Linked DNA regions of Tamandua tetradactyla. The protein of the gene in region 2 purifies or fractionates together with the protein of the main gene of each other region. This does not show direct contact. Links are inferred from orthologs where the notes say so. Each region holds a gene or a part of one and is shown on either strand. Other genes may lie near its edges.

Region 1 (16,110 bases), on a different chromosome or scaffold from region 2:
ACAGGGAGTAAAAACCTTAATAATAAGAACCCAGGTCTCATCTTAGGGAGAATTTTAGGTGTGATACTCTTTTGATTAGTGAGTCAGAAATAAGGAACTGGGAAAAGCTTCAATCTTCAGTTAAGCCTTAAATAAAGTCACAAAACTATGGAACTAGAAAAGAAAATTTAATATACCATCACATCTACACATTTGGAAATTACTTTGGAAGACTGTTGGGTTCATCTGAGAAAATCATACCTAAGATATTCTAGAAGAGTCTTAGTCAAACATGTATTTTTAAAAGAGTAAAAGCAACGAATAGCATTTCTAAAAACAACCACATCATTTCTGAAGGCTATCATTGGCAGTTTTGTTTTTGATAGCTATTACAGACTCACAAAGGTTTCACCAGCAGGAATCACATTAACTAATACTACTTAGTTTTCTATAAAAGTTGCCCTCTGAGAAGGATCATCTTTAAGGAACAGTCATCAGATTCTAATGAAGCTTCTGCTTAATAGGTTTTTGAATTACTATTATTATCTTATCACTAAGTAAACTGTTCAAAAGCAAAAGGCAAAAGAAGTCTTAGAGAACCTAGATTCAAAAGATGCTTCCTACACAGGGAAAACTATTTATAACATTGAACCATCATAAAACTTGATTGATCTGGTTCTTTCTAACTTTAATTTATTCAACAAACTGAACAGCCCTAAATTCCACTAAACCATGTTATGGGGCTGGACTTAAACTTCTGTGCCCTATGTTCTGTGATACCAGGGGTGCACTTTTTTGGGGGGGAGGGTTATCATATTACAAGCAGAAAAGAGGGAGACAATCAGATATCATGAAAATCTAACTTCTAAAAAAACTAAAACAGCTTGGTACTACAACTTAGTTTCCTCATTAAAAAACAGTTTACTCTTGTTATTTCCATATTTTATACTGTTTTATCTGTGTTCATTTAACTTTAGTGTGTCCGTATAATGGTGAAAAACAAGAATTCTGGGATCAGACAGGCTGGTTTTAAATTCTCACTCCATTGCACTAGCTGACTGACCAGTCAAGGCAGCAGCTTAATTCTCTGAATCTCATTGCTTACATTGCTAAACAGAGATAAGAGCTATGCATTCATGTCGAAGGCAGTTGCCTTTAATTTTCCAATAAGATAAAGCATGTAGTACTCTGCCGGGCAGATAGTAAGCACCTTGTACATTTTAGGCTTTATTATGATTACTATTACTATTACAGATATTAGTAATATTATTATTATTTATTCCTAGTCTTCAGGGTCAGTGTTTATAATTGTGCCTACAGTGCTTCAGTTCACCATTTAATTGGTCACTTGGATTTTTTCCTTATCATGTACAATAAATGTATATTTTCAAATAACCATGTGAATTTAAATGTTATATTAACATGTCAAATGCAAAATGCTGAAAGGGCAATTTTGAATATAAGTGCCTAAGAAGTAATGACTTCCTGAGACTGAATGGCCCATAGTGAAAAAAAGACTAAACACAAAACACTTATTTTCCTCTCTGGGCATATTGAATCTAAATAAAAACTATCTTCACACTGCTTCTGTTCAACTCTAACACACCTGTATTAACATCAATTATCTTGTCAGTGAATGTCCTTCTCCCTTTGCACAGATATCAGAGCAAATGTTCTGCCTCTCTTATATTTTCACTCTACAGGTTTAGGTTTTAGCAACACATTACTGAAGAGTTTCATTAATTTAAGCAAATTCTAATTCCACAATTGATACCAGATTGCTAGAAAACCTTCATCTCGCTTGAGATAAGAGGGGGGAAAACAGATGAGTTTTATCTTCCACAGCTTGTACAAGCTAGTTTACTTTATTCAGACAAGTTGCTAATTGAGTGGTTTGGAGACACTGAAATTACTTCCCAAACCAGGCAAGTAAAGGAGTTTAAAACTACTGAAAGGTGTGTAGTTAACACATACAAATGTGCTTTCACGGACTCTGTTATATGGACAAGCACCATTTTAGTGAAGTTTCAGAGTGATAAAGGTTACCTTCTAAATCAAACCTGAGTAAACAAAATCAGCCTTAGACCTATGAGTCTAAAAGGTGTACATTTATTTTATAGGTGAGGAATTCCAGACAGAAACATTTCTTTAGTCAAAATAAAAGTTAGCCCACCATTAGTGAAAAAAAATCATAAACTAAAATAAAAATACAACAGTACGCAGGTTAAATTTAGAAAGCAAATTATGAGGCATATTGTAGCTCATTAGTACCATATGATGTCAAAGGATACTGAAACACATATTTGGGTCCTGATCCACTTATTCTTTGGCCCCACTTTTTTTTCCTGCTCTAGCTGGGATTGCCACTGACATCCATACTTCTCAGTCACTTTAGCAGAGAAAAGTTAAAATCTTCCTATTCTACTAAAATCCAGCAATGACTTTACCACGCTGATATATTTTTCCCATAATGGTGCATAAATTATAACCATAGATAACGTGCTACAAAGAATTTTACAGTAATATCACAACTATCTCTTGTTATGTTCACTAAAATTTTAAATTACTTGATGAGATAACGTATAACTGAAGTTAATTTCAAAGAGTAAATGGTGATATTTGACAATTTTATTACTCTTAAGATACATGTATGCCTCACATTAAAAGAACAATCTATGAGGGGGCAGGGGAGGTGAGCAAACTAAATCTCTAGTATTCTCAAGTAGGATCCCTTGCAAATAATTTCGGGGGAAAATGCTGAGGACTCCATGATTTTTCCATGACTGAGAACAATTGCCCATGGCTCTTAGGGTTGCACAGTTGAGTTGAGCATAAACATAGGTGGCACAAACTTTGAGCCTGATACCCTTTCAAAACAGCTCAAGAGCATCCCACAAACTGCTCTTGCTAGAAGTGCCTTAAAGCACTATTTTCTAGTAAAAACCTTGTTCCACTTAAGACACAGTATAACATGACTTAAAACATAGATTCCTAAAATAACTTGTATTATTAGGAACTCAAGCTTAATATTTCATATATATGCATACAAATCAATCATTTGACATACAAAGAATATATTGCTACTTAACACAGAATCACACTGCTTTGTTGTCACTTGCTTGTGTCCCGTGATGGTGCTTTTAACACTTCATTTAGATATCAAACTAGTGACAGGCATTAAATCCACAGACTACTTTGCATCAAACTTGTGATCTGAAACATTTAATACAATTGTTTACCTTCTACACTCTTCCAAATAATAAAGTAAATAAATGCAATAAAATAAACAGATATTCTTTTCTGGCCCTAAGCCATGGACAGCTGTGAACACTGCAGAGGTAGTTTTCTCTCTGAATGGAGTCAGAAAGATATGCACAGTCGTGCTGTTCAAAATATTATTTTATGTGTGGAACAACATTGTCATAAGATGTTTGGAAGCCAAGTAAAATCACAAGAAGGGGATTTGTGGCAGCCTATTTGGGCTGAAAGGAAATGAGGCTGAAGCTCTCCCATGAAGCAAGCAACGTGACACTTTCCAGAGATAGAAATAGCCTTTTGGTTGGGGGTGAGGGGTGGGGGGCAGAGAAAGAAAAAGCAAATTAGTGGAGATCAAAGCTATCTCCCTATACACTGTAATCTTCTCCCTTCCTCTTCTTCAACAGTAAGAAGGAAAATGATGAAGGTGGAAGAAGGGGAAAAGAAAGCCATGTTAATCCAGAATGGTAAAGAAAGGAGGTGGCCTTTTGATCTCCACAGGATGGCCACTTTATTGGCTATGTATAAGTAGTTTCCATCCAGCTGATCAACCAGGTATTAAAGCTCAACCTTTCCATGATCAGTAACTATGAAGTGAGGCATCTGTGAACAGCAGTCAAGCAGGAGGCTCCTGCACTACTAAATAATCACCAGCCCAGACACATCCGAGAGAGTAGTGACAACCACGGGGGAAGATTGTCTCTCCACTGGCTTCTCCCTGAGTACCAATCATTTTCCGTAGGACTCAGCACAAAATCTTCCTCAAGTGTGCATGAAGTGTGCATGAAGGAGAATGGCATTCATTTTCTACAATACAACTTGAATCCCCATATTCTGTTGTACCAGCAGACAATGAATGTTTCAACTTCTGTTCGGTCTCCTAAGCATACCAGAAAATGCAGCCGTGACAAAGGCTGAAAGTGAGCTGGCTGTATGTAAAGAATTCATTGACGTGTCTGGTCATCTAAACATTTTCTTAATGGCACAAAAATAATACTACTTTTCCCAAACTCTCTATTCAAACCACAGTCTTGTTTAGGCAGAAATTTTTGAAAATAAAATTTTAAAATAAAAAAAATTGAATCATAATCTTTCTAATTTAAATTCATCATTTCTCTCTTGCAACTAAGAAAAGACTGGTTAAGAGCTTTAGAGTCAGTTCAGTTCAAATCCTTGCTCATCCAGTTCTTAACATCTCTATAATGTAGTTTCCACAATTACAAATAAGGATAAAGTCATATTTTATCAATAACAGTACATATCTCATAAAGTTCTTATGAATATTAAATAAGATAAATGATAGTTATGTCTTCATAATATTATAACAAATATAATCATAATTATAAAGTGAGTGAAAAGTTTCTTACTGTCCCCCAAAACGTGAACTTGACCTCATATTTTAAAAATATTTCCTTCTTACACAGTATTGATCCTCTCTAAGCATAAATTTCATGATTTGGAAGATAATTACTTAGTTTTTCACTTCTTTTTATAAAAGGAGGAAGTAAATATTATAAAATCTTATTAAATGTAGCTTAAAAAATCTATCATATCCATTTATCAAAGATTTAGATGTTTTAAGATTGCCATTGTTCTAAAAATGTAAAATGGCTTCTTCTTTATACAGCTGTTCTAGATATTCAATATACAAACTTTTCATAAATCTTCTTCTTTCAGAAATCCATTTCTGGGATTTGCTTCTAGTGCTCTGTGTAGGCAGAGAATGAACTTAGATTTGGTTTCTCTGTCTGTTTCCACTCTACCTCCTCCCTATATTTTAAAACAGGCTTCATTCTGGATCTCATTTTCTACTTCACTTCTCCTGAATTCTGCTTCTGGTTTTACTTTTCAGTTTTTTTTTTATTTCTTATTCCTAAATTTCTTATTGTATCCTATAGATTGCCTCAGGCCTAATTTTAAATTGAAAGACAACATTTAATTTCCCTATATTCTCCTATAAGAAACCAAGCTAAAAGTGCAGTTTGCATTTTTGTTTTGAGAATTACACATTTTTATAAGGGCCAGAAAATAACATACATATTACTTAGCAGCTCTTATCAACACAGAATATGCCAAATGAAGACTCAACCACTTAATGATTTTCACTGGGAAATGGTTACCCTACATTTCTTTCTAGTTTTACTCCTGCTGCTTAGCATTTAAATCACATATATCTGCTGAATGTGAAGATTAATAATAATAAACTGTCATTGTAGGTTGGAAATTCAGCATCTCGTACCACTTTAACTCACAAGAATATTTCATTTGTGATAGCAAAGACTTAGGAAAGAGTTTGGTTAAACTTTCTGTTATGTGACATTTTATATATAAATGTGTTCGAGAGCCCATTATCAAGAAAAAAAATTTTAAAGATATAGCACTATTCAGACATGTATATTTATAGAACAAAAATGTTCTAAAGAATATAGCCTGGTCTTATTGGAATTACCAAATCATTTTGACAAAAAAGAAAAAAAAAGGTTGAGTGACAACTGAGACCCAGAAAAGTGGCTTATATAGTGAAACTTATCTAAAAAACAAATGCCTCTTCCCAAAAGAAAAGTGACCCCCTACATATATAAAAACAGAAAAAGAAGAAAAAGGAGAGAAGAGCCAGCAGATTTTCATTTTATTTGAAATTCAGATCTCATCCTAAATTTAAACTGAAATTCAATAACTTTTTCACATACAAGCAGGTTTCAACAAATGGATTTGAGGGGAGAGGGAGTCTATGAAGGAAGAAGGCTTAGAATTAGTTCCTAAGAGATCACATAGGTTTACTTCAGTTGCCATCCCCACCCCCCATCCCCGCAAAAATACCCTCTAACTATCCACAGAAAGAAACACCAATATACAAACTGATGAAAAAGTTCACGCTTTAGAAATACCTACATCTTCCCCAAATCATAGCTTCATGGAATAAAAATAGTCATATATTATAGCATTAGGTTAATAAATAAATGGCTACAGAAAGTAAACACTCTTAAATGAGTATCTGGCATTCAGTATGACATCAACACATCCAAATGGAGTTTGTAATCTGTTTGAAGAAAAATACAGGACTTTATTAAATAGGCAGCCAGTTTCTTTTTTTTTTTTAAACGGAAAATCAAAAGGCCTGACAACCAACCAATCGATGCTTTTACAGGTTAAATCTTGTTGAAGATCCGTTACTCCCTCAGTACACCTTGATTTATTTAAGCTCGCTACATTTCTCTTAAATACACTCCATTAACAAGTGATAGACTGTGACTTTAGGCTTGAGGCAAGACATGAAACACAATCTTTCAAAAACTTCATTCATTCACTGGCCAGGTGTGTTGAGCACATCCAACTCTAGTTACTTATCTGAGTTCTATGTAGTTTTATTCAAGTGAATTGTGTTGCTTTAAAGAGTAAACTGCCAAAAAATCATTCTAGAAACCCAATAATTAGGCCTTCCAAGTCCAGATTCACAGCATGAGTGAAAGTCACTGGATGAATGATAAAAAGTTTTAGGTGAAATATGAGGGAGCACCTCACCAAGACACCTCTGGTCTGGAGCTTGGCAGGCGTAGATAAGCACGTTTGCAGGAAAAAATTTAGGCTTATAAAACTATCAATGGCTTGAATAGAAAATTAAATTACAAAACAAACTCAGAAATACCTTAGCTCTTCAATTATAAAGATATCTCAGATGTACCCAAATTACAAACTTTAGATAGTACCTCCTACTCAAATTATTAAATCTGATAGGACAGTATAACAACTAGATATTTCTCCAGGTGAAGATAGAATGTGTACACTGACATGACCAGCTTTCAGTGATATCGTATTAGAGTAATCCTATCTTTAATCTATAGCCATGATAAAATGTCCCAACATATACAAACTCAGTTCAAACAGTGACTAATGACCATTAATCCCCCTATCTTCAGTAATCTGCCCCTCCTGTCATTTATCACATTGACACTTCACTTTACACACGTGAATAAACTTTAACTGAGAAGGTGAATCAACAATAATCTCAAAGGTATCTGAAGCTGTAAATTAAACTAGGGGCAGACACAGCAAAGAGAAGCAAATATAGAGATCAGATCTTAATGTTTTTGGTTTGCATCCATGGCTGTGTGTGTGTGTGTGTGTGTGTGTGTGTGTGTGTGTGTGTGTGTGTGTGTGTGTGTGTGTGTGTGAGTGTGGTGGGAGGGGTACTATTCAATCATTGAGATATTCAAACTTAAAAAAAAACAGTTACCTTATAGAAAGGGGAAGTTGAAACTGGGAAAAGGTAGTTCCAGGGAGTTGATCTACTCATTCATCCACTGTGACATATTTGAGATACCAGAGGCTATTTTCTTCAAAGGAATAACAAATTAATGAATTTCTTATTTAGTCTAGTTGTCTACTTGCAGTTCCTTGTAACTTTCAGCCAGGAAACACATCTCACAGGCTGAAATTCTTTTAAGGTTTTGTTTGCTATTATTTAGCTGATGTGGGTGTGTTTTGTCTTGCTTTCTTTTTGTTGTTCATATTACATGAACTACTTTGCTTAAGTAAAATCCTTGCTGAAAGCTTAAGTGATGGCCAGAAACCACACACACACACACACACACAGACAAACCTCAAACCAACCTTTCAAAACTGTTTCATAATTATGCAAATCGAATGATTTGAACCTGCAGCCCTGATGGAACGTGAATGGTTAGTATGCATCTGTAAAAATTATCTGATGTGCAATGTGTGTGTGTGTGGAAGTGTGTGTGTGCGCGCGTGTGTTTAAAGCCTGAAATCGGATCCCTTAAACTTTTGATTGAAAACAGAATTTACCAAAAGGGAAGAAAGAAAAGTTGAGTTGTGGCTTAGTTCACCCACAGTAAAAGTTTCTTAGGGAGTGTAAGAAAACTATTCGTAATTGTAGATACAGAGTGAACTTTTATGTCAGAAGGATCCCAGTGCAGGCTCTTTCTAACACTTCATTTGGAGAGTTTTAGAACATTTAATTAATCCTAAAACTCCTAAATTTAGTCCCCTGTTTTCCCTTGCCAGTGAGAATCCCCAAGCGAGAAACTGTCCCCTTTCCGATACTTGCAAACTCCTGTTTTTCTTCTAAAACCAGTGAGGCAGTGCTAGTTTATACCTTATGTAAAGAGTTATTTCCTTACGTTTTTTCAGAATCAAATTTAATTACAGATATTGGTTACATTAAACTCCTAAATACCCCTAGTGCTAGGAAAAGGAGGGGCAAATTGGAAGACCAGGTTAAGGAATCCTGGAGGGTCTCCGGGCCACATTTCCTTCCCCAAAGGAACCAGTTGGTGGATGAAACTCATTTTGGGTCATCCAAGGGGCTCAAGCTCACTGCCAACTGCTGCCTCCTCCTACCCTTGCGCTCAGAAGTGCAGTTACCCCGTGTTCAGGAGTGCCCTGAACTTGGCGAGAAGCCGAGGTCCGCGAGGAGGCTCCGGGGGTGGATTTTTGGGTGGTGAGGAGAAAGGGGCGACCCGAAGTGCGAACTAAGAACAGTCGAGCCTAAAACTCTGCAGAGAACGAGACCTTGGGCCTTAGAAGGAAGAGGTCGTTCAAATAATTCGGGAGTTGATTTTTGAAAAGTGGGGAGGGGACGTGCAAAGCGGAACAGGGGTGAAAAAAGAAGTCGCGGGGTTACCTGAGCAGAGACATATTAATCCAAAGAGGTAAAAGCGAGCAGGCTCCGCGATCATTGTCCTCGGGTGGCTCCTGCATACAGTCTCATGCCAAGAGGAGGAAGTAGAAATGGGGTCCCCAAATTTATGAAGCCACACACCCCACACAAAGGCTTAATATAAGCAACGTGGGTCAATCCGCCAGGAGTTTTCAAAGCAATTACTTGTTACCCTTCCGGGCGCTTGTCACTGTCTCGGAGCCCTCTCGGACGAAGAATTCCAATGCTCGCCTCCTCCGGTCCCGGGCTTTTCGAGGAGGCTCGGCCACTTCCAGGGACCATCCAAAGCCAGCAACAAAAGAGCCAAAGCAGAAGAGCAGTTGTGCGGTTTCCTGCCTCTACTGTCTTCCAAGCCTCCTGGCGCGCGCCCCCACACTGTGCGCCCGAGCGCCGCGGGCGCGGCGGCTGCAAAGTTGGGGTGTGGGAACGGATTAAGGGAGGGCCAAAAAGTGCTTCTCTGTCTTACAGGCAAGCCAAGTCAGCAACGGGCCACCCGCGGCGGCGACAACAGCAGCCAAGGCAGCGCTAGCAGCCCCGGAGTACCGGCGCAGGGTGCCGGGGGTGTGCCTGGGTGACTCCGAGGGGGCAAGCGAGAGGGCGGTGCGGAGACAGCGGCTCTCTGGGCGGGCCCTTGTTCCCATCACTTAGGGGATGCAGCGGGCACTGGGGACAGCAGCAGGTCCGCGGGTACACGCACACCTCCTGGGCGCCCCCAGCCGCAGACCCGTGCGGCGCCCACCATGGTCCCCGGCCCCGTGCCCGCTGGGGCGCGCGAACGCAATACCCCAAACTCCAAGGGAGGGACCCAGGAGCCCAAACTTCCTGAGGGGTGACGACCCGCACCCCTGGTTCTCAGCAGCAGCTGTGAAGCGGCGGCTCCCGGCCTCCACGACTTCCCCGGCGAAGGGCTTGGAGGATGCTGCTGCCAGTGGGAACGACGGCCGCCGCGGCTCCGCGGGGATCTGCAAGGTCTGAAGTTTCAGCTCTCACGCTGCCTCCTCTCCGGTTCAATTGCTTGTGGGTTTTCCCCACGGTCCCGGCGGCTCCCAGTTTCCTCCCTCTCCTCCCTGGCCCGAGAATACTTAAAGGGGCCGCACAGTCCTTTCCCGGCCTCACTCTATACCCTTCTCAGGCGCAAGTCAGGCAAGTTCTTCTCGTTAATATTTCCAACCTCAAGCCAGAGGTGCCCAACTGCGCCCTCAGGTGAGAATCAAATTGTTCAGGCTCGGAAATGCAAGCAAATGGGAACTTGCCGTGTTTCTCTCGCCACCCTTATCACCCCTGCACCTTTCTCCAAATGGAACCTCCCAGCTAAAGACTTCAAAAAAAAAAAAAAAAAAATCCTCCCCTGGTCCAGTTTAACCTCTTCTTTACCGCTTCCAAGGGTTGGAATAAACTCTCAAATAACTCTACATTCACTCCGCTCTATCTCCGTTAAAAAAAAAAAAAAATCAAATTTGAACTATCAAACCTTCAGGACAGGAAATAGAAAGAGGGCTATCTAGAACATATCAGTAGATGGGCACTCGATTACAATAATCCTCTTATTTAAAATTGTAATTGTTGAGGGTGATGTAGAAAGGCTATGCAATTCCAGGGGTGGGCCGTGGAGTCTTTTCCTAATCTATGTTTCACACGAGATTTACTACTTTGACTTTATAGATTCAGCATATTAGAATTTTACCAATGGGAAGCCTTTAGGAAGAGGAACAAATGCGGGAAAACAATCTTGGCTACCACCCGAGCAAAAGTTTGCGGTTATAAGAGCAGTCATTCAACCTTTCAAAACCAACCAGCACGTGTGTCCACGCCCAGAACACAGACTTTTAAGTCCCACCTAGCAGTCATTAGCTCTATGAACATGCCACCTTGATTAAACTCTTTTTAAGTCCAGGTTTTCTTCTTCTGAAAATAGGGTGTCCCGAAATACTTCATTGTATTAAGAAATCTTACCCAAATCAAAAGAACCTGACACACCTGATGGACGTTCTTACATTCATTCCTCCATCCATCCATTCATTCCGTTTTCTTTCTTTCTGTTAAATAATAAACTGAATGTTAAACACCTGGCACATGGTGAGTGCCCAAGAAACAGCAGATGATGGTACTTAAAGCTATTTTACTTTTTAGTAAATTATTACTTACTAAGTTAGGTACAACAACTTCAAAATCATAATTTGTTATCTAACAGGATATACCAGAAGATGCTTACTGTTGTCATCTCTGGAGAGAATAATTGCGGGACAAGTGGAACTGGGTGGATTTGCTCTTTTTTATATGTTGTGATTTTATTATTTTTTCTTTCTTTCTTTTTTTTTTAAGTGAATACATGCATTATATAATGAAATAGAAAAATTTAAAAGCGGATCATACATTCATTTTGTTTGCTCCTTTTACAAACAAAGCCCTCAGAGTCACATTCTGTGGAAAGGAATTCCTTCAAAACACATATCTTTGAATGTGATAGTTTAATCCTGAGAAAGCTGACTGGAAATTCAGTAAACAAGCTAGAGATAAGAACTCAAAGACTCCAATAAAAATCTTTCTAGCAATAAATGCAAGACTATACAGTGAATGCTGGAAAATATATATTGATTTGGTCTCTGTGAAAACATATTAAGTAAAAAACATACAATTGGGAATTGAACCCAGGTGTTCAGCATGGCAGGCGAGAATTCTGCCACTGAGCCAACCATCGCACTGCCCAAGATGTGCTTTTAAGATATGTCTGCTTACTTAGTAAATAAAAAATGAATAAGTTAAAGCATGGTACTTCATTGAGAGAAAGGATTCTTCAAATTGTCATATGATCTGAGTGCATTTTTAAATATAGATCTCGAACTTTCACTTAGTAAAACTTTAAAATATAAGGTAGAATATGTGTAAGGGATCCCAATTGTATTGTGTCCCCAAAGTAGATCTTCTGTCTCCAGAAGTTTGCTAAGATATCTCAAGATCTCTTTTACCATGCATCTCATTGTCAATGGATAGAAACTATCTTAATTTCCCCTTTATTTCTCAATTTCAGTAAGCAACATCTCTTGCCTCCAACTAGTCTGCTCCACCCCCTAGAGATTAAGTTATGTAGGATAGTTAGGCAAAGAACCCTCAAGGAACTAACTCTTGGCCAACCCAAGAGTTGGCCCTTTCTTCTTCCCTAGTCCCATCCAAAGTGTACTCTTCTGACAATGATCACAACTGGTCACATCTGAAGACAAGAATTTGTATTCAGAAGGTTTTAAGGATATATTATGACAAAGAAGGCCTAGTGTACCTGATAAGTTTCCCTACTACTGCCTTTCACTCATCACCCTCGGCAATGCAAACAAATGCTTAGTGAACATCAACTATATGCAAGAAAGAGTAAAGAGTAAAGCAAACTAAGGTGAATGTATTTTAATTTGACCTCAAGAACCCATGTCTGATCACTATGATCTGAATGAGTGATGGATTCAGAAGTCCTATCTAGAACTCTGATTTCTGTTGGAATCTATGACATTCAAATCTCCTAAAATGTCTCATTGAGAATTTCGAGGAAACCTGAAATAACACTCTTCAGCAGTCCTGTGAATAAGGGCTTCTAGAGTAATAAAGATCTCTTGAGGTCGCTCTGCTCTGATTTTGTCTCTCATAGGAGTAGTAGCTGCAGGAACTCAGGAAATACCACAACCCCCAGGGGCTCTCCAGGAATTCCCGATCCCAATTACCTAGATCAGGAAGACCAGAGTGGAATTCCTAAGGAAAATGCAAACAGGGGTATTTCTTTCTCTTTACCTGTTAGCAAGAACTCTTAGAACCAAATTGTGCCTGGGATTCAAGCCAGAAGTTCCAGCAGGTCTGCTGAGGTGAGCATGACACATTATAGTACAACCAAAGCTGTGTCGTCTACTCCCCCTCCGGAGGGCAGGATAGATGGCTTAGCATTTTTACATGAAATTGCTGAATAATTTGCCCAGCCCTTGGCCTCTAAATCAATTAGTTAAGTTGAATAATTGAATATTTGAGTAATTTTCTAACTTTCGGAAGGTTCCATTTTAAAAACTACCCTGAAGTAACCCTAATAAAGAGAAAATAAATTCACACTTATTGGAACATCTACTGTGTGCCCGGCTTGATTTTAGATGTCATACGAGATAGCAACAAATCCCTTGCAATAAATTGACACAATGGAATAGAGATTTTATGTGCAATAGGAGTGCAAGGAAGGGGGGAATAAGTTAGGGTTAGAGTACTGAGAAAAGAAAAAGATGCTAGGTAAGATTTTAAAGTGCGTGTAATCTTATTCCTATTCAGGAAATAGGATAAAGTCTATCTAGACCCTTTCTTTCAAATGTGAACAAGGTACATTTTAAGAGCACTGCTTTTGTTTGTTTGCCTGCATTTTAGGACACAGAATTAGGTGACCCGGGATCAGGAACCACAGGAGGAAGAGATTTATTGGTTACCACTCTTCACTTACTTCTAAGACTTAAGGTACAGTTACCAGGAAATGATGAAACAGTCCCATTCCCCTCACCCAACAGTGAACTCCACTTTCAGGTTTTCCAAGACTCATTCAAGTGTCAACTATGATATACCCAATACTTACTGTACTTGCCTTGCTGTTTAGCATTTTAGCATCTTGGGGACGTCATAGATGTTTTAATCTATACTGCTAAGGTCCTTTGACTGTGGAAACTTAAGTTTCAGTAACGATGGATCTCACAAGAATTCATCTCTTTAATGTTAACAGATGGTTAGTTTTGAAGATAAAGGAGAGGACAAAGGGAAGTAGCATTTATTGAAAAATGCTATTTTGGGCCCTTAACAAAATTTATCTGATCTAATTTTCACCATGATCATGCATTTTCACCATGAGTATTATTATCTCATTTATAGATGAGGTTCAGAAAGTAAATGATCAACTCAAAGTTCAGAAGCCCAGAAACCATAGAGCTTAAACTTGAACCCATCTTATTTTGAACCAAAGCACAATGGGGGAAATAATAAAAAAATTAAGAAGTTCCTTGGTGGAGTAGAATTGGGAGACTCTGCATTCAACAAATGTAAGGTTTTTCCCAAAGCAGTTAGAGTTTCCAAGAGAGAATAGTTTGGAGACACTGTCTCTTTAGTACACAGTGCTCAGTCTATAGACTACGATACTTCTGTAATAATACCCCTTATTTCCCATACCTCTTCACACCTTCAATCTCCTGACTAAACTGCATAAGCTAGTTTACTAAAGGGAAAACGTAGTGTTAAAATGAGCAATATAGTATTCCTTATCAAGAAAGTCCATTAACTGAAGTAACAATACTTCTAGGCTTTCTTTTTTTTTTAATTAATTAAAAAAAAAATTAACTAACACAACATTTAGAAATCATTCCATTCTACATAGGCAATCAGTAATTCTTAATATCATCACATAGATGTATGATCATCATTTCTTAGTACATTTGCATCGATTTAGAAAAAGAAATAGCAAGACAACAGAAAAAGAAATAAAATGATAATATAGAGAAAAAAATAAAAATACAAAAAATATATATTAAAAAAACAGAACAAACAAACAAACAAAAAAAGATCACTGTAGATCAGCTACAGTGAACCCGTTAAATCATGCATCTGAGTCAGAGCCTTTCTCTTTGTTCAAAACCCTCCCATAGTTTCCACTTCTCACTCAGAGGGAAAGCCCATGTCCTTCCAGAAGTCTATAAGGCCTTACATGAGCTGGTCCCTTTTACTTCCCTGACATCATCTTCTCCTACATTTGCTTGCCTTTTCTTGCTATATTCAACCACAATAGTCTCCATGCTATTCCCAGACCATAGCAGGCAAGCATCTACCTCAGGGCTTTTGCACGTGCTCTTCCCCATAAATCTGCAAACCTATGCTCTCTCTTCCCTAGGGTTTTAACAAAATAAAACTTTCTTAGAGAGGCCATTTCTGACCACACACTTTAAAATTACATCCTTACACAATACTTTCTATACCCCTTCCATGTTTTATATTTTTCCCCCTCCAGGGCAGTTATTCCCATCTAAGATAGGACATATTTAATTATGTGTTTTCATTGATTTCCCCCCTCTTCTTAGAATGTCACATGAGGCAGGAGATTCATGACTTCTGTTCACTCATATTCCTAGTATCCAAAATAGTGCCTGGCACTTAATAGGTACACAAGTGTTTATTGGATGAGTGATTATTATCTCATTGTCTATTAATGTCTTTTGGAGAAACACTTCTTTAAGGAAACTTTTTCGGTAGTTCTAGATTATATTTTCTCCAATGCATAGTCTAACCATTTATCCATTTCAACTAGTAGAGAAGTAAAGTGAATTTCATTCATGGAGTAGATGTTTCAGTGGATTTCAAAGACTTAAAAAACAAGGTTCTGACTACATAAGCATATACATATTTGGATAAGTTTTTTTGGGAGCAAAGAGATTAGAACTATTGACTGAGATTGAAATATATAATAAAAGAAACTTTCAAGATCAACTTTTCTTAAATAAGAAAATTGAAGTCTAAAGAAATAACTTTATTCAGAATATTCCTTTAGTTAGTGGGTTAACTCAAAACTAGCATCCAGGCCTTTATATTACTAGAGAATATTTCTTTCAACCCAAGCAGGGTAATCAGAGATTCTCCACCTTTAGAATACATTCATCATTAGATATGGTATAGTATTACACATATTATATTATTATTTAAATAATAAATTATACGTATCTTCACTTTCTCATCAGGAGTCTAGGAACCATGACTTATTATTTTTTCTTTTTGTATCTCTAGTGCCTAATATAATAAAAATAATAGTAGCAGCCAAAATTTATATAGCACTATGTGCCAGAGATATTAATCTAAGTATTTTATATAACTCATTTAGTCCTCAGAACAACATTATTAGGTTGGTCAGTATTAATGTTCCATTTTGTACCCAAAGAAATGGAACAATCTGGAAATTTAGCAATCTGGATCCAGAGCTTAGGCTCTTCTACCTACATTACATTGTGCAAATAAAAGTTGGTGATTAAAGGAGTGGTACCATACACATCAGGTTAAAGCTGGAGAAAGCTATCATTGTGTCAGGTTTGTTTTGCTTGTTTAAATATCTGGTTTCTTTCGGGGATTAAGTACAAAAAGTGATTCTGAAGTATATGCATTTGTAGTTCTGTTTCTTATATGGAATTTGGGTATTTAAATCTTTTTTATTT
Region 2 (16,110 bases):
AATACACAAGGAAGTTATAAATAGGAAAACAGTAAAACACAAAAGAATATATCCACTTTAGTTCTGTTAACTCAAATAAAGGTACTAGAGTATTAGGGTACTTAATATGTCCTATACAAAACTTTTAAAATGCCATCAACATAATTAGATGATTGTGGTAGCTTGGAGCTATGTACCCCAGAAAAACATGTTCTTAAACTTAATTCATTTTTGTGGGTATGAACCATTGTAAAGAGGACCTTTTGGTGAGGTTACTTCAGTTAAGGTGTGAGCTAACTGAATCAGGATGGGCCTTACTCCTATTACTGAAAGCCTTATAGGGAAGGTCACAAAGAACAGCCTGGAGAGGCCATCATATGCACTGTATCATGACAGATAAGCCAAAGACCAAGGATTGCTGGCAGCTAGCACTAGAACATCAGTCTTCTGGGAGCAAGCATTTCCTGATGATTCCTTGACTTTGGACTTCTCCTAGCCTCAAAACCATGAGCCACTAAATCCCTACTGTTTAAGCCATGTATGGTATTTGACTTAACAGCCAGGAAACTAAAACGATTAACAGAGAAAACAGCTTAATTAAGATCTGTAAAAAATACCAATTAACATTTCCTATAAAGAAAAAAACCCGTATTTCTACGTGCTGCTTTACAACTGTTGTGTACCTCACAAAAGCCATGTTCTTTAATTCTGACTCAAAATTGCTGGTTGGGATCTTTTTGATTAAGTTGTTTCCATGCAAACGTGACCTACTCAACTGTGAGTGAGACCTTCTGATTAGGTGGTTTCCATGGAGATGTATTTCCACCCATTCAAGATGGTCTTAATTCAACTACTGGAGTCCTTTAGGAGGAATCATTTTGGAAAAAGCTTCAACACCTACACAGCCAGAGATCTTTGGATATGAAGAAAGAAAATGCCCCCTGGAAGCCTTTTGAAATGACAGGTCTGGAGAGAAAGCTAGCAGATGTCAACATGTGCCTTCCCAACTGACAAAGGTGTCCTGGATACATTGGCCTTTCTTGAACCAGTATGTCATTATCTGGATGCCTTAGTTTGGACATTTTTATAGCCTTAGAACTGTAAACTTGCAACTTAATAAATTCCCTTTTTAAAAGCCATTCCATTTCTGGTGTATTGCATTCCAGCAGCTTTAGCAAACAAACATACTATAAAAATGATAAATGGTTAAGCATGGTCAATTTCTAGTCACATCTAGTAGAAAAAATTATGGCAGACACCATGACAGCAGAGAGAAAGAGAGAGAGGAAGAGAAGAGAGAACATGATAAAGTTCTAATAATGGTTCAAACAGGCTGATGGTAATTTTCACCCTAAAAGTCTCATTTCTGAACAATACGGAGGGGTAATTAAATGGCAGGGCATCAGTATTATGAGGTAGCCATTACAAATACTTACGTAGACCATGTAAAAACTTGGAAAAAAAAATGGTCACCATATTCAAATGAGAATCATTCTAAGAAAAATTGTCAATCTTCTTTTTTTTTCACCAAATTATAATACTGATGACTATAAAAACAATCAAAGTCTAGTCATCTAAATAATGCCCCCACTGGCTAGGGGTTGGTTTGCCACATGATCCTGAAACCCCATTGCTCAGAATATACCTGGAAGAACAGAGTGTGGAGACACAAATGGACATTTGCACACTTGTGTTTATGGTGGCAGTGTTCCTGATCCACAATGAATGGGGGTGGTTTAAGAACACAACGATTAAGGAATGGAAAGGGGAACTATGGTGTATACATACAATGGACTACTGAGCGGCCACAGGGAAGAATGAAGTTGTAAGGCATGCAACTAGGTGAATGAATCTTAACAGCTGTATGTTGAATGAAATGTCAGGAAAAAAAGACAAATATTCTCATGCCTCAATCATATGGACTAACTATAATATAAAAACTACTCAGTGAACTAAAGTCGCAAGCACGGGTTATCAGGTTGGGGCTTATTGTAAAGTGTCCTAGACTATAAGCTCTTACAGCAGTCACATACATAAATTCTGAGGTACTGAGCTGTTTGTATATAACATGGTCTTTCCCAGAAACTTTGGGTACTTATGTGACACCTGAGACTCAGAAATAGAGCCCTGAAGCTGTGAAAGTGAACAATACCTCATACAGGAACTGTTTAAAAAGCTGAAGAAGGGATCAGACTTCAACTAGATATATGAATGAAGCTGATAAGGATAGGACTAAGGTATACTAGAAGTTTGGGTAAAGGATGATATCCATATTTTAAAACCTCAACTTCTAGATGAGACTAAAAAGGTAAGATGTTTATTTGGTGCAAAATTTATATTTTGTTAGTGCATTTCCTAATTTAACTTTTATGATCAGTTTAGTTTGACACCGTAAGTACACAGAATCTTGAATAGGGAGATTTTATTGGCTTGTACAGATTGGTAGGATACCCCAACAAATCCCAGAGTGATTTGGGCAGTGAAGAAAGTATTTGTGGTGTTCCCTTGGGAGAATGGGGAGAAGGGGGGAGGTGTTCAACTTTCCCATCTGGAGAATTTCTGATATTCTCGCAAGCAGTGGGGCCAACCAAATCAATAGACCAAGCCCCCAATGTTGGGGTTCGCCCTTATGAAACTTATTCCTGCAAAGGATGGGCTAAGTCTACTTAAAATTATGTCACCCCCAGAGAACCTCTTTTGTTGCTCAGATGTGGCCTTTCTCTCTCTAAGCCAACTCTGCATGTGAACTCACTGCCTTCCCTCTTATGTGGGACACAACGCCCAGGGATATAAATTTCCCTGGCAATGTGAATCAGAAAGCCTAGGATAAGCCAGGACTCACCATCAAGACACTGAGAAAACCTTCTTGACCAAAACAGGGAAGAGAGAAATGAGACAAAATCAAGTTTCAGTGGCTGAGAGATTTCAGAGTTGAGAGGTTATCCTGGAGGTTATTCTTATGCATTATATAGATATCCCTTTTTACTTTATGGTGTATTGGAAAGGCTACAGATAAGTACCTGAAACTGTTGAGCTGTGTTCCAGTAGCCTAGATTCTTGAAGAGGAATGTATAAAGATATGTTTACAATGCGACTATGTGATTGTGAGAACCTTGTGTTTGATGCTCCTTATACTGAGGGTATGGACAGATGAGTAAAAAACATGGATAAAAATAAATAAATGAATAATAGGGGGGAAAGGAGTAAAATAAACTGGGTAGATGGAAATACATGTAGTCAATGAGAGGGAGGGGTAAGGTGTATGGTATGCGTGAGTTTTTGGTTTTTTAATTTCTTTTTTCTGGAGTGACGCAAATGTTCTAAAAAGTGATCACTGTGATGAATACACAATTATGTGATGCTATTGTGAGACACCGATTGTGCACCATGTATAGAAAAAAGGCATGTGACAATTTTTCTAATTAAAAAAAATAAAAATAATAATGTCTCCACTAAAACTATTAGAAATGTCTCCTCCTAGATTTTAGAAATAGCTAAGAGCAATAGAAAAATGGCCTCTTTACTTCATGTCACATATAGTGCTTTATTTTTACCATATTACTTATTTCAGGACTATGCTAAACCCTGAGAATACAGAGACTAATTTAACAAAGGCACACTTGAATGTTCCAATCAAGTATGGATTAGGTACCATAAAAATTGGAGGGAGTGGAAGCACTGTTCAAGTCTCCACCCCTATCCTTTTCTTTTTGAATGATTAGTCTTTCATGTTCTACTCTATTACCAATTCTTTGATTTTCAAGAAATACCTAATTTGAAAATCAGTGACCCTCTGAAAACCCTTTCCCTTGACAAGTTACCTAACTTCCAAACCTCAATGCCATATTAGATTTCCTCCTGACTTTCCATATTCCACTAGTTACCAAATTCTACTGCTCTGCCTTCATCACTTCGCCTCATTTCATATCTCTTCTACATATCTACCTAAATTGAGGCTTTTATTTAGGTCATCTCAGTATTCACTTGCATCTTGTTTCTAGGCAGTGACAGCTTCACACCTCAACCACTTCTCTGCTTCTTTTAAATTTTCCAGCATCTCAGGACTTTGCTCAGCTCAGGATAACTAGCAGTTGTCCAATCAGGCATTTTCAGGGGTAATCTCAATCAGTGAAGGTCAAGAGTAGGTGGTTACTCTCTTTCCCACCCCCAAATTCCCCTTCACATGATACGATAATTCTGAGACAGTTCTACAAAAATCTCCACAGGATTAAGCCCCCCAGGTGGCTCTTAACCTTCCCCTAATCACTTTACCCACATCTTCACTTGTGTTTCTGCAATTCCACCTGCATGCATATCCTTATCCTTGAGGTATACACTTGAGAGGACTTCAAAGAAACCACAAGGGCCACAAAACTGATGTTGCTATCCTAAGGATAGTCAAATGGTCTTCTCTTCTTGATAACAATTACAGCCCATTTTGCTTTCAGATGATTCACATTCCTCTCATTATCAAACACCTTCAATGAGATCTTTCATAATTTGGCCCTTCTTTATCTTCTCACTAATTTACATAAACCATGCATTATTATCAGCCAAATTGTTCTAATGATGCTTTAACTTCCCAGGAACTCCATAATCTCTTCATATTAGAAATGTCTTATCATACCAATCTGTTGAAAACTTTTCAGAAGCTCACTCCTCTCAAATGCCATCTCCACTAAGCCCCAACCACAAGCAGCATCTTCCTCACCTAAATTCCTTAAGAAATCCATAACCCTCAGAAGGCACTTACTGTAGTTTTGTAAAATATTACATATGTTGACCTCAAGCTTGACTATAAAGCATCTCAACAATAGAAACCATGTTTCATTCTTTTTATTTCCAAAGGGTCTTGTCCAGGTAAACTCACATTGTTCTATTTATATTTAGCCTTCTAAAGTTACTTCTAGAAAGGACATTTATTTTGAAACACATGTTGTTTCTTAAATACTCATTCTCATTAATATATACATACTACATTGTACATAACTCATGATGCTCTTTAAAGACAGTTAAAAGAAACAAAATGTACTCATCTCAGACTCTCTGCAGCTCTTCTACTTACCAAGCTGCTCCTGAAATCTCTTGCACTTTAAAATAATATTTAAAAATGTTTTAAACACTAAAGAAATAGAGCTGCTAATTCTTTTTTAAAAATGACTACATTTAACATACGTTTGTTTTTTTAACCAATAATCTTTCACCATTTTATGTATTTCATTTTCTTGTGAGGAGCCCAGGGTCTGTTATAGTTCACAATATCTTAATCTGAATCTCATTTTATTTCAAAGACAGCTTCAACAAGATTTTAGGCTTTAGAGAAATTCTGATCCTTACACAATCGCAAAATGCTGTCACAAGGAAAGACATTACTTTAACATAATTAACTCAGAGGACTGGCAAGAGGATCAAATATGACTGCATATGTGAAAGGTCACTGGAAATTCTACTAGCAATACATAACTATGAGTTATTTCCTTAACTCTGAATTTCAGGTATTTGAAAGCATCTATTTAGCACAATCTAAAGCCTTTAAACTGCTCTGTTATATAAAAAGGACTTGCTTGTTCATAAATTATAAACAATTCAGAATGGACAGAAAAAAGTGAAAGTTATCAATAAACCAGACCAAAAACAAGAAGCAGCTATCCTTAATAGACTATATACCTCTTACACACAATAGGAGCTCAAATACTTTATTTCTGGGGTATTTTTTCATACTGTTCTTTTATTTTCAATCCTGGCAAAGTAAATGAAATAACTAAAGCTCCCAGCACACTGTAACTACTATTATTTTTTCTTAAAATTAGCAGTCTTTAAAGAAAGTCTTTACTAAAAGTATTTGCAAGATTGGGGGAATGGTGAGAAAGGGGGAAAATTCAACTTTCCTAAGTTGAATTCTTGATATTCTCACAAGCAGTGGGGACAACCAAAGCAATAGGCTAAGCCCCCAATTTGAGGGGTTGTTCATATGAAACTTAACCCCACAAAGGATAGGTCAAGCCTACTTCAAATTAGGCCTAGGAGTCACCCCCAAGAGAACCTCTTTTGTTGCTCAGATGTGGCCTCTTTCTCTCCAGCTAACACAAGTAAACTCACTTCCCTCCCCCTGTCTACATGGGACATGACTCCTAGGGGGGTAAACCTTCCTGGCAACGTGGGACAGAAATCCTAGAATGAGCTGAGACAGCATCAAGGGATTGAGAAAACCTTCTCCACCAAAAGGAGGAAGAGCAAAACAAGACAAAATAAAGTGTCCATGGCTGAGAGATTCCAGAATCGAGAGATTATCCTGGAGGTTATTCTTATGCATTAAATAAATATCACCTTGTTAGTCAAGATGTAATGGAGAGGCTGGAAGGAACTGTCTGAAAATGTAGAGCTGTGTTCCAGTAGCCATGTTTCTTGAAGATGCTTGTATAATGACACAGCTTTCACAATGTGACTGTGTGATTGTGAAAACCTTTTGTCTGATGGTCATTTATCTACTTTATCAACAGATGAGTAAAACATATGGAATAAAAATAAATAATAGGGGGAACAAATGTTAAAATAAATTTAGATTGAAATGCTAGTGATCAGTGAACAGGAGGGGTAAGGGGTATGGTATGTATGAAATTTTTTCTGTTGTCTTTCTATTTCTTTTTTCTGAATTGATGCAAACGTTCTAACAGATGACCATGATGATAAATAAGCAACTACGTGATGCTATTGTGAATTACTGATTATATATGTAGAACAGAATGATCATAAGAATGTGTTTGCTTGTTATTTTTTAATTAAAAAATTAAAAAAGAAAAAAGAAAATTAAAAAAGAAAGTCTTTACTAATCCCCTTATTTATAGTAAGAATATGAACTGACAATATTTATAAATTCGAAAAAAATAACCTCTTATGATAATCCGATTTAGTGAAAACTTTCCAGATTACACAGTTGCCCTGTCTCAACCAGAATCAGAATTGGAACAGCCTCATTACTTTCCAAAACAAAAATTTTAAGATGAACTAATGTGATTAAACAAACTCATAGATTTATTTAGCAAGAATTCTCGGAATTCTTGTGATAAAATTCACCCTCAGTTTAGAGTCTATGTTCCTGCCATAATTTCACCATCTGGCTCAATTTTCCAGGCCTAATACTGATCATAGGAGAATGTGGACGCCCAAAACAGTTAAGTTTAAAACACCTAGAATAATCTCATCCAAAGCTCAGTTTACACCCAGTAGATATTCAAATGAATAGCGTTTTGGAATTGGAAAACATTTAACAGTAACGGTCTGGGAAACCACACACCATGGAAATTTGACCCAAACAAAAGGTGCGATAAGGGTAATCTTTGCAACAGTCAGGATCAAACACTGGTAAAAGAAAATTAATTTCCAGGGACGATGACACCTAGGCTTTCCCGTTCATAACCATGAATAACGGGGCCGCTGGGACCACATCGGGACGGAGACCCCGATTGCGCCGCAAAGCGAAACCTGAACCAGAGTTGGCGCGTCCAACGGCTTTCAGTAGTCTAAGCCCACCAAGAGGGGCCAGCGACCCTGGGGGGCCGGGACGAGACTCGGCAAAGAGTAGAGCCCTTCTTCGGCACTCGCCTCACCCTTCCCGCTTCCCAGGAGAGCGCCCCTAGGAACCCTTCCCCAAATCATCGACTGACACGGGTGCTCCGCCGACCACGGCTTATCCCAGCAACACAGGACTAAGAAGCCGAGGCCTCCGTCTGGCTTGCGCGACCACCATCACCCCCGGACCAAGAAAAAGAAGCCGGATAACCCGCGCGCGGGAGAGAGAGCAGAGACCGGCCCCCTGAGGCGAGCGAGACGCCCTTCGGCCCCGCGCCCCTCCCAACAGCGCCGCGCTCACCTCCACGGCCTTCCCCTCAGGCCCTGCCAGCGCGTCCAACGGTGACCTGAGGCCGCCCCTCCGCAAGCACTTTTCTTCCCCTGGCCTCGAAGTGGAGCGGTGTCGAGCCCCGAGGGCCGAAAAACCGCTTCGCGGCGCCACCCGCGGGATCCCCTCCGCCCGAACCAGCCACTTCCCGCAACAGCCGCGACTCCTTCCGGTGCCCGGCGGTCGCCACAGGCGTCTGGGGCGTCGCGAGAGGGCGGGGAGGGGCGTGGCCAGGTGGAGAGCCCGCCCTGTGGGCGGAGCCCGGACATGGAGGCCCGGCCCAGGTACGGACACTGAAATCAGCCCGCGCAGCTGGAACTTCAGAAGCAGTTAGGAGAATAGATACTGTTTCAAGCGCAGAGCAGTTTAAGGCTCTGGGCATTCTTTTTATTTTACACGTTTTCTCCCCCTCTTATACATTCACACTACAACCGTTATAAAGCCTTGTTTCGATGAATTACAGAACCTGCATGAAGGCTGGTCGCCGAAGGGCCTCAGATTTCCGACCTTAAATAAATAAATACTAGATTTATCTAAATTTAGCACTGTTTTCCTCCCTCTCCTTTTTCTTCTCCCAACCTTTTAGGACCTAGATTCTCTAAAAGCTGTTGTGTCTCCCTCTTGAACTTCTGCAAAGATATTTATCTCTATCAGTTTCCCTAAGCCAAAATCAAGATCATATCAAGTATTTATTGAAACCCTAGTATCTGCTTAATGCCTAGAGCATCACAAGAGACCGGTCTTCTAATTTTGTAACTGTAAAAATGTATTCAAGTGATTTTTGAATAGTGAGCACTAAAAACAGTTAAATTAGTAAACATTACTGTTAAACATTGCCAGCTTCAATCTGTCTTTCTAACTTTTTGGTCTCCAAAATGGGAGCATTAACTCAAGTGTTGCTCAAGATGCTCAATCTCCATCAAGACAAGGTAGAAAATATTGTGAAGTTTCAATTTAAATTTATTTTTATTGTAAAAGGGAAGAAATTAACCCTTACCAACATTCTATATAGGGATTGACAATAAGACCTCAGATCGTTACAAATGGGTTCACTTAGGGAGAATGAAAGTTTCACAATTCAGAGAATTCCCCAAGGTGCTATCACTCCTCCTTTCATTTTCAGCATTTTTCAAAATATTGCAGTATATGTAAGTCAATACTGTGGTTAATTTTATTTCAAAAAATCAAACATTGAATGTTTTAAATATTTATACTCCTCCATAAAGAGACAGGCAAATCATTTTTTTTCTGCTGTTTCGTGGCCAAGTACTTAAGAGCTGTTTAACTTAAAGGAGAGCTTTATATGTTTCTTAGAAAAACGTTTTCTAAATTTGCTAATTTCTCCTGTGATGACAGGTGGCTGTCAGCAATCTGCAACCTAACAAAAATTTTTAAAATGCACTTGTTTAAGCTATGGCTTCAAAGAAAAAGTGATGTTTTTAGAAGCAAGAAAGTTAACTATTTTTTTAAAGGAAACTTTGCAATGGATAAAGCGTTTTGAAAAAGGTTTGGGAATGTTTCCATCACTAAATAATTTTGCTCCCCCAAATTAGGAGTTACAAAAACTCATATCTGTATCAAAAGATATCATTAAGAAAAGAAAAACCATGCCACCCAATAGAAGATATTTGGAATATATATAACTGAGAAAGAGCTCATGTACAAATAACTTCTCTATATTTCCACAATCAGTAAGGAAAAAAATAGATAAATAGACAAAACTCACCTGTCCAGAAATTCCTGCTCTGAAAATATATCAGGGGTGTCCTGTTCTTACAGTGTTCTGGCAGATTAAGTTCGATCCAAAAATCCCCACCGCCTGCTTGGTAAATCTTCTTTGGGTTTACCTGTCCTGGGGGCATTCTCAGTTACTATCAGCACAAGGAAGGCAAACGATGGCTGCTCAAGGCAGGTGCGGCTGGTACCTGGACAAGTGCCTCTCACCGAACATCAGCTCTAGTCCTCACAAGGCACACTCATGCTAAAACAATCCACTACCACTACCACTTTTAACTTCCCATGGACTCCCACCTTCCCTTCCCACCCTTATTTCTCTTCTAACAATGACTCTTGACCAGCTATAAGAAGGGGGAAATAAATCAATTAACGCCTCTGCCCAGGAGAGTGGATGCCTAGCTGAGTCCCACATTGATTCTCGGGTGCTGCCATTCATGTAGAAGATGATATGAATTGTATACCTTCGAGTTGTGCAGGGGGGAAGAAAAGAAATGAAGGGCGGGAAGACAGGAAAGTGGAGAAAAGTAGGAGGGGGAGAAAGAGGGAGGACAAGAAGGAAGAAAAATTTAATGGGAACAGCAAAACAAAACTTCTCGTGTTTGAACTGAGTAATGGCAAGTAAATACAGCAATGCACAAAACATGTATTTTGATCTCAAGTACCTGAAACTTATTAAATCTTTGCGAATGTGATTCCCTCCTGTCAGATACACATTTACCAGATACATCCAACCCCTATCCCTCATTCACTTGGCTAACTCCTCAAAGAGCCATTCATAGTTTAATATAGCATACTTCACCCCATTATTTCCCATTTCATAATTCTGTTTGTTTCCTTCAGAGAATTTATACATATTTTAATTATATTGAGATTTTTTATACACTTGATTTTTACCTGTCTCCTTCACTGAACTGTAAGCTCTACAAGAGCCATACCATATCTGCCTTTTTCACAATATTCCAGAGCCCAGCAATGAAGAACTCAAATATCTGTAGGTTCTCAACTTGGGGTGATTTTGGCAATGTCTCTTTGGGTTGGGGTGAGCCAACCAGTGGAAGGAGTTAATCACATTTCTTCGTGTTACTGTGACAGAAACAAAGTCCAAAGTGTCATTAGTTCAAATTTTGAGAAACCCTGATTTAAACTGAGGCTTTATATGTTTTTGGTTATAGGTGGCAGAAGCTCAATCAAACTGTTGCTCTTAATTCAATGAACAAACTGGATTTGGTAGGGGGCAAACAGAATCCAATTTTCTTCTTCCTCATTATTGTCCTTGATAATCTCTGAGTATCCTTCCCTACACCTAGGACAAAATCTTAGGCAAGGCCCTTAGCTTATCCAGGCTTTCTCAAGTAATTAAAAGGTCCTCCAGTCATTTTCTTGTAATAAGCAAATGGTTGTTTGTCTTCCCTTCTTCCACCAGTTATTAAAAAAGCCTTTTCAGCATGATGTAAAAAATCCCAGACTCATTGAGTTTAAAAATTCTTTGCCATGATCTCAACTTGATCTACTTCTGCTATGTAGGGCAACTTTCATTTTGGGCCCCTTCAGATTTGGAGAAGGGGAGAGGGAAGAAAATTAGGAACAGAAAGGATCTTTCTGGACTGGACAAGTCTTAGCCTGGTTTTGGCATCCTCTGGGTATAACTGAGCTCCAAAGCTTACCTTTTTCTTTTGGTGTGCCTCTGTAGGTGCATCACTGGGAAACCCACATTCCCTTAGCTCAGCAATGTATCTTCTAGCTGGCCACTTATAACATTCACCTCAGCCTCACTGGTTTCCAGCGAACCGTCTCTGAGTCAGCTTCGTCTCAACCAATTCAACTGTCTTTCTCAAGATGACCCAGATCTGTTCTCTTACCAGGGCTTCTCACCTGGCCCACAATAAGGACACATGCACCTCTCTCAGAAGTGTAGGTTATTCCTAATCAGTTCTGTGTACATCTTCTGCTTGGAGGAAGCCTCAGACTCCTGACTTAGGGTTTTTCAAATGTGAGTCAGTTACCAGGCCTTGTCTCTCTAAGATTCCAAGGGAATCATATTTCTCAAATGGTTCTCTTGAATTTGGCTTGAGATAATGGAGAAGTACCCACTCCATGGGTAGTCTACTACCTTTGATTTGGATGTGGGGGTACTTGGCATTGACTTTCAGGGCCTCTGCCAAGAGTTTCAGTTATCATCTGTTAGCTCTTAGAGTAACTCCAGCTCAGAGTTTCTAAAAAAAATGGTACCATTGGCATTTTAGATTGGATAATCCTTTGTTATGGGGGCTTTCCTGTGCACTGTAGAATGTTTACCCATATCTCTGTCCTCTACCCTTAGAGGCTTGTAGCTCCCTTCCACCACCCTTCTCCTTACTGCATCTCCCATGTGACAAGCAAAAATGCCTCTAGACATTGCCAAATGCTTCCTGTCGGGAGTGGGGGTGGAATGCTAAAACATCCCCAGTTTCATACCACTGCTTCAGTTTAGGCCAGTGCTTTTCAAACTTCTTTCAAATCATGGCACAGACAGAAAATGATAATACACCAGGATCAACAGACAAGAATGCCAGCAATGAGAGGTTTCCAGCATGGATCACTATCTTGGCCCGTAACCCACTTGAAGCACATATCAGTAAGGGTGCTCTGTCTTAGGTGAAAAAAAGAAAAGGTATTTGTTGGCTCATAGAATCCAGGGAAAGATCACTAGAAACAAAGAATCAACCATTTCTAGGACTCTCTCATGATCTCTTCATCTTTCACCTCTTGGGTTGTCATTAAAATGATGAATTTTACCCAAATCCTGCAATCCTAGAAAACAGCAAAGTTTAAGAAATTCCCTTTCTTTTGTGTAACTGACCAGGATGGCCTTAACTTCTCCTTAGTTTGACTAAATCTCAGGCTTCTTCTTAACTCTTGATCCCTGACCTCCCTCTCCTAGTCCCTTACAGAATCCAGATAGAACATTGTTTTAGTTTGCTGAAGCTGCCAGAATGCAATGTATCAGAAATGGAATGGCTTTTAAAAAGGGGTTTTATTAAGGTACAAGTTTATGTTCTAAGGCCATAAAAATGTCCAAACTACGGCATCTAGAGAAAGATATCTTGACCCCAAAGGAAAGGCTGATGTCTGTCACATGGGAAGGCATGTGATTGGCATCTGTTGGTCCTTGTTCCTAGTTCCGTTGCTTCCAGCTCCTGATTCTAGTTGTTTCCTCTCTAAGCTTCTGTGGGCTTCACTTAGCTTCTCCAGGGCAAAATTCTGGGTTCTGGCTTGCTTAAGTATCTCCTGGAAAGGCATATGACAATGTCAGTCAGCTGGGCTCTGCATCTCCAAAGATCTATGTCTAGGTTTCTGGTCTCTCTGTTGGCACTCCAAGCATCTCTAAATGTCTACGTCTCTGTTGGCTCTGAAGCAGCTGTGCTTTTCCAAATTGTCTCCCCTTTTAAAGGACTCCAGTTAACTAAGAATCATCTTGAATGAGTGGAGTCACATCTCCCTCTAATCAAAAGGTTATACCCACAATTGGATGTGCCACATCTCCATGGAAGTAATCTAATCCAAAGATTCCATCCTTAACAATAGGTCTGGCCTCACAGTATTGGATCAGAATTGAAAGAACATGGCTTTTCTGGGGTACATAACAATTTCAAACTGGCACAAACATGTTCAACCTGGCTTATAGGAGATAACTCCATGCAATCAACACACTTCATTGCTTGATCCCTCCTTCCAGTATTCTTCCATTAGCTCTCGTGCATCAGTGAAGATGTGCCCTTTCTCTCTCCACTATTGTGATAACTTTCTTCTCTCTCTCTCTCTCCTTCTCTCTCCCCACAATAGTCTTCTAGTCTCTCTTTCCTATTGCATATAGCTTTGAGTAAAGTCATCCTTGCCTGTTTAATATTGTTGGGTATAATTTTTTCTTTGATACTATCTTAGAATTTTCTCCAAAAGCAGGATCCCTAGTTTTAAAAAAATTTCAAAGAAAGGATACACTATCTCCATATGAGTCAGATGTCTGCCCAGGAACATTCAGCTACAGCAGCAGAATATCTAGACAGCTCCAGTGACAGATAAATGGGTGAATGGAAGGGAAGTTTCCAAGGAAAAAAGGAGGGGGCAAGAGAGATCCAGTATCATAGATAGTCAATGCTAGCTTAAGGCTGAATAAGAAGATTTTTGATGGACCAGGGGAAGAAAGATAATTTAGGTGGAGGTAACAACATAGGCAAAGGCACAGAAACAAGAGAGAGTATGGTGCCCTTGTGAACCTAAAAGTGTTCAATATTGCCTGAGTAGAGATTGAAAGTGGGGGGTAGAGTGACAGAGAGGTAAAATCATGAGTGACTTTGTCCATGTCGTAAGTAAAGTTTACCCTCTAGTGAAAACATGAAGAAAATGATGAGAAAGGAAGTATGAAAAGAAGCAACATGATGAGATTTACAACTAGATTCCTTTTATGGCAGTGACAGGGAGATAGTAGAGGCAGACATTGAAGAATCCAGATAAGGGCCTGAACTAAAGGAGATGGCAGTGGAGATGTCTATGCAAGCTACTTAGGAGATAAAATCAGTAGACTTGTCGATTGACTACTCAAGGGATGGAACCTAGGAAGGCTCCTTTCTACAGATCCTATTCATTTTTTTTAACTTTTTATTGTAGTAACATATATACAACTCAAAATTTAGCACTTTACCCAACTTTAAGTGTACAATTCAGTATTATTAATTCTATTTCCAATATTGTGCTACCATAAACAGAATCTATTACTTCAACTTTTTCATCACCTCAAACAGAAACTCCGCACCTATTAAGCAATAACTCTCTCTCCTACTTCCCTCCTCTACCTCTGCCCTTGGTAGCCTATAATCTACTATCTGTCTCTATGAAGTTTGCATCTTCTAGGTATTTCATTCAAGAGGTCAAACAGTATTTGTGTTTTTGTATTTGGCTTATTTCATTCAACATGGTGTCTTTAAGTTTCATCCAAATTTTAGCATGCATCAGAACTTCATTTCTCTTTTATGACTGAATAATATTTCATTGGGCATATATACGACATTTTGTTATTTCATTCAGCTGTTGATGGACACTTGGGTTGCTTCTACCTTTTGGCTATTGGGAATAATGACACTATAAATATTGGTGTACAAATATCTGTTTGAGTCCCTACTTTCTTTCAGTTCTTTCAGGAATATACCAAGAAGTGGGGTTGCTAGGTCATATAGTAATTCTATTTTCAACTTTCTGAGAAACCACTAGACTGATTTCCACAGAGGCTACACCCTTTTACAATGCCACCAGCAATGTATAAGGGTTTCTATTTCTCCATATGCTTGCCAACACTTATCTTTTCATTTTTATCTGTATATTTTACTAGTCGCCTAATCTGTCTTTCTGACTCAGTCACAATCTCTTAAAGTCTAATTTCATATTTTTAAATACAATTCTTTCTAACACACAAATCTAACCAGTTTACTCTTCAATATCTCTTCTTCATCGTAAAGAAACTTGTCTGACCAAGAACCTAGGATGGTGAAAGCAAGTTACCTAGAGTACAAAATTTAAGGATCCTGCAGTTGCAGGGTCTTGAAAGTAAGTACCTCTTTAAACTATGTACCCTTGGGTCCTTACTTTCCTCAGCCTAGACCCTTCCAGCATTAGTTCAACTCAAATTTGCTCTTCCTACCTTGTCTTTTGCTATATCCAACCAAACTCCTGACCTCAAATTATTTTAAGCTACTTTCCATTCATATGTAAGGCAAAACTTTGTGCCTCTCCTACTTAGTGCTGCCTTTCCTTACATCTGGGATACCCTTTCTCCTCTACCTTTTCTCCTCAAAGTGAGCTCCACTCACCCTTCAAGGATAACTGCATAAGAGAAGCCTTCTCCAAAGGTGTGGACATTTCCTTGTATTCTGTAGCATATTCTCTAGTATTATTATATTGTGTTTAAGCTTGTAATGATTTGTTCACTTTCTCATCTCCTCAACTAAATGGTGGGCAGAGATTTTTCTTATGCATCCTAGTATTTCCAACATTCAACCCAGTACAAGGCACAATATAGGAAATGAACAAATCAATAAACCATTCATTGAAAAAGATGAATGAAAGTGAAAATATGAACTAAGCATAAGAAACACTGTCTAACTTGGAGAAATACTAATTGTCTTGCTACCTTTCAAAAATTTCCTCTTCCAAACACACAGACAGGGGATGCAGCTTGTTTTGTTTTATTAAATTTAGAAATGGCATGTAGTTTTCTAGCATTTTAAAAGTATTGTTAAATGGCTAAATGTGTAAAATATGAACTAATTTCCATGTAGTTTAATTTTATTGTTCTGTATGTTAAAGTAACTTTAGAATAAACTTATTTGTCTAAGATTTTACTAGAAAAACATTGGTATTATCTATCACTTATTTTACATTTTGATGTAAATACCTCTCAACTGAGCAGGGCAGCAGTATGGTGACACAGCGCAGTGAGATTACACACTCCCCGTCATTCCCTGACC

Evidence for each region.
Region 1: the proteins of USP33 (region 2) and ROBO1 purify together in Homo sapiens (affinity purification with western blotting; 5 studies listed by BioGRID and IntAct, with this or other methods). This does not show direct contact. The link is inferred for Tamandua tetradactyla from reciprocal best matches to the Homo sapiens genes USP33 and ROBO1.

What each region holds. Positions count from the first base shown.
Region 1 is NC_135336.1:68,134,165-68,150,274, reverse strand, and holds the start of ROBO1 (roundabout homolog 1), read right to left. Parts: upstream 9,447-16,110; 5' UTR 8,934-9,446; coding exon 8,879-8,933; intron 1-8,878. UniProt on the Homo sapiens protein: Receptor for SLIT1 and SLIT2 that mediates cellular responses to molecular guidance cues in cellular migration, including axonal navigation at the ventral midline of the neural tube and projection of axons to different regions during neuronal development.
Region 2 is NC_135337.1:47,719,083-47,735,192, reverse strand, and holds the start of USP33 (ubiquitin carboxyl-terminal hydrolase 33), read right to left. Parts: upstream 8,082-16,110; 5' UTR 7,850-8,081; intron 1-7,849. UniProt on the Homo sapiens protein: Deubiquitinating enzyme involved in various processes such as centrosome duplication, cellular migration and beta-2 adrenergic receptor/ADRB2 recycling.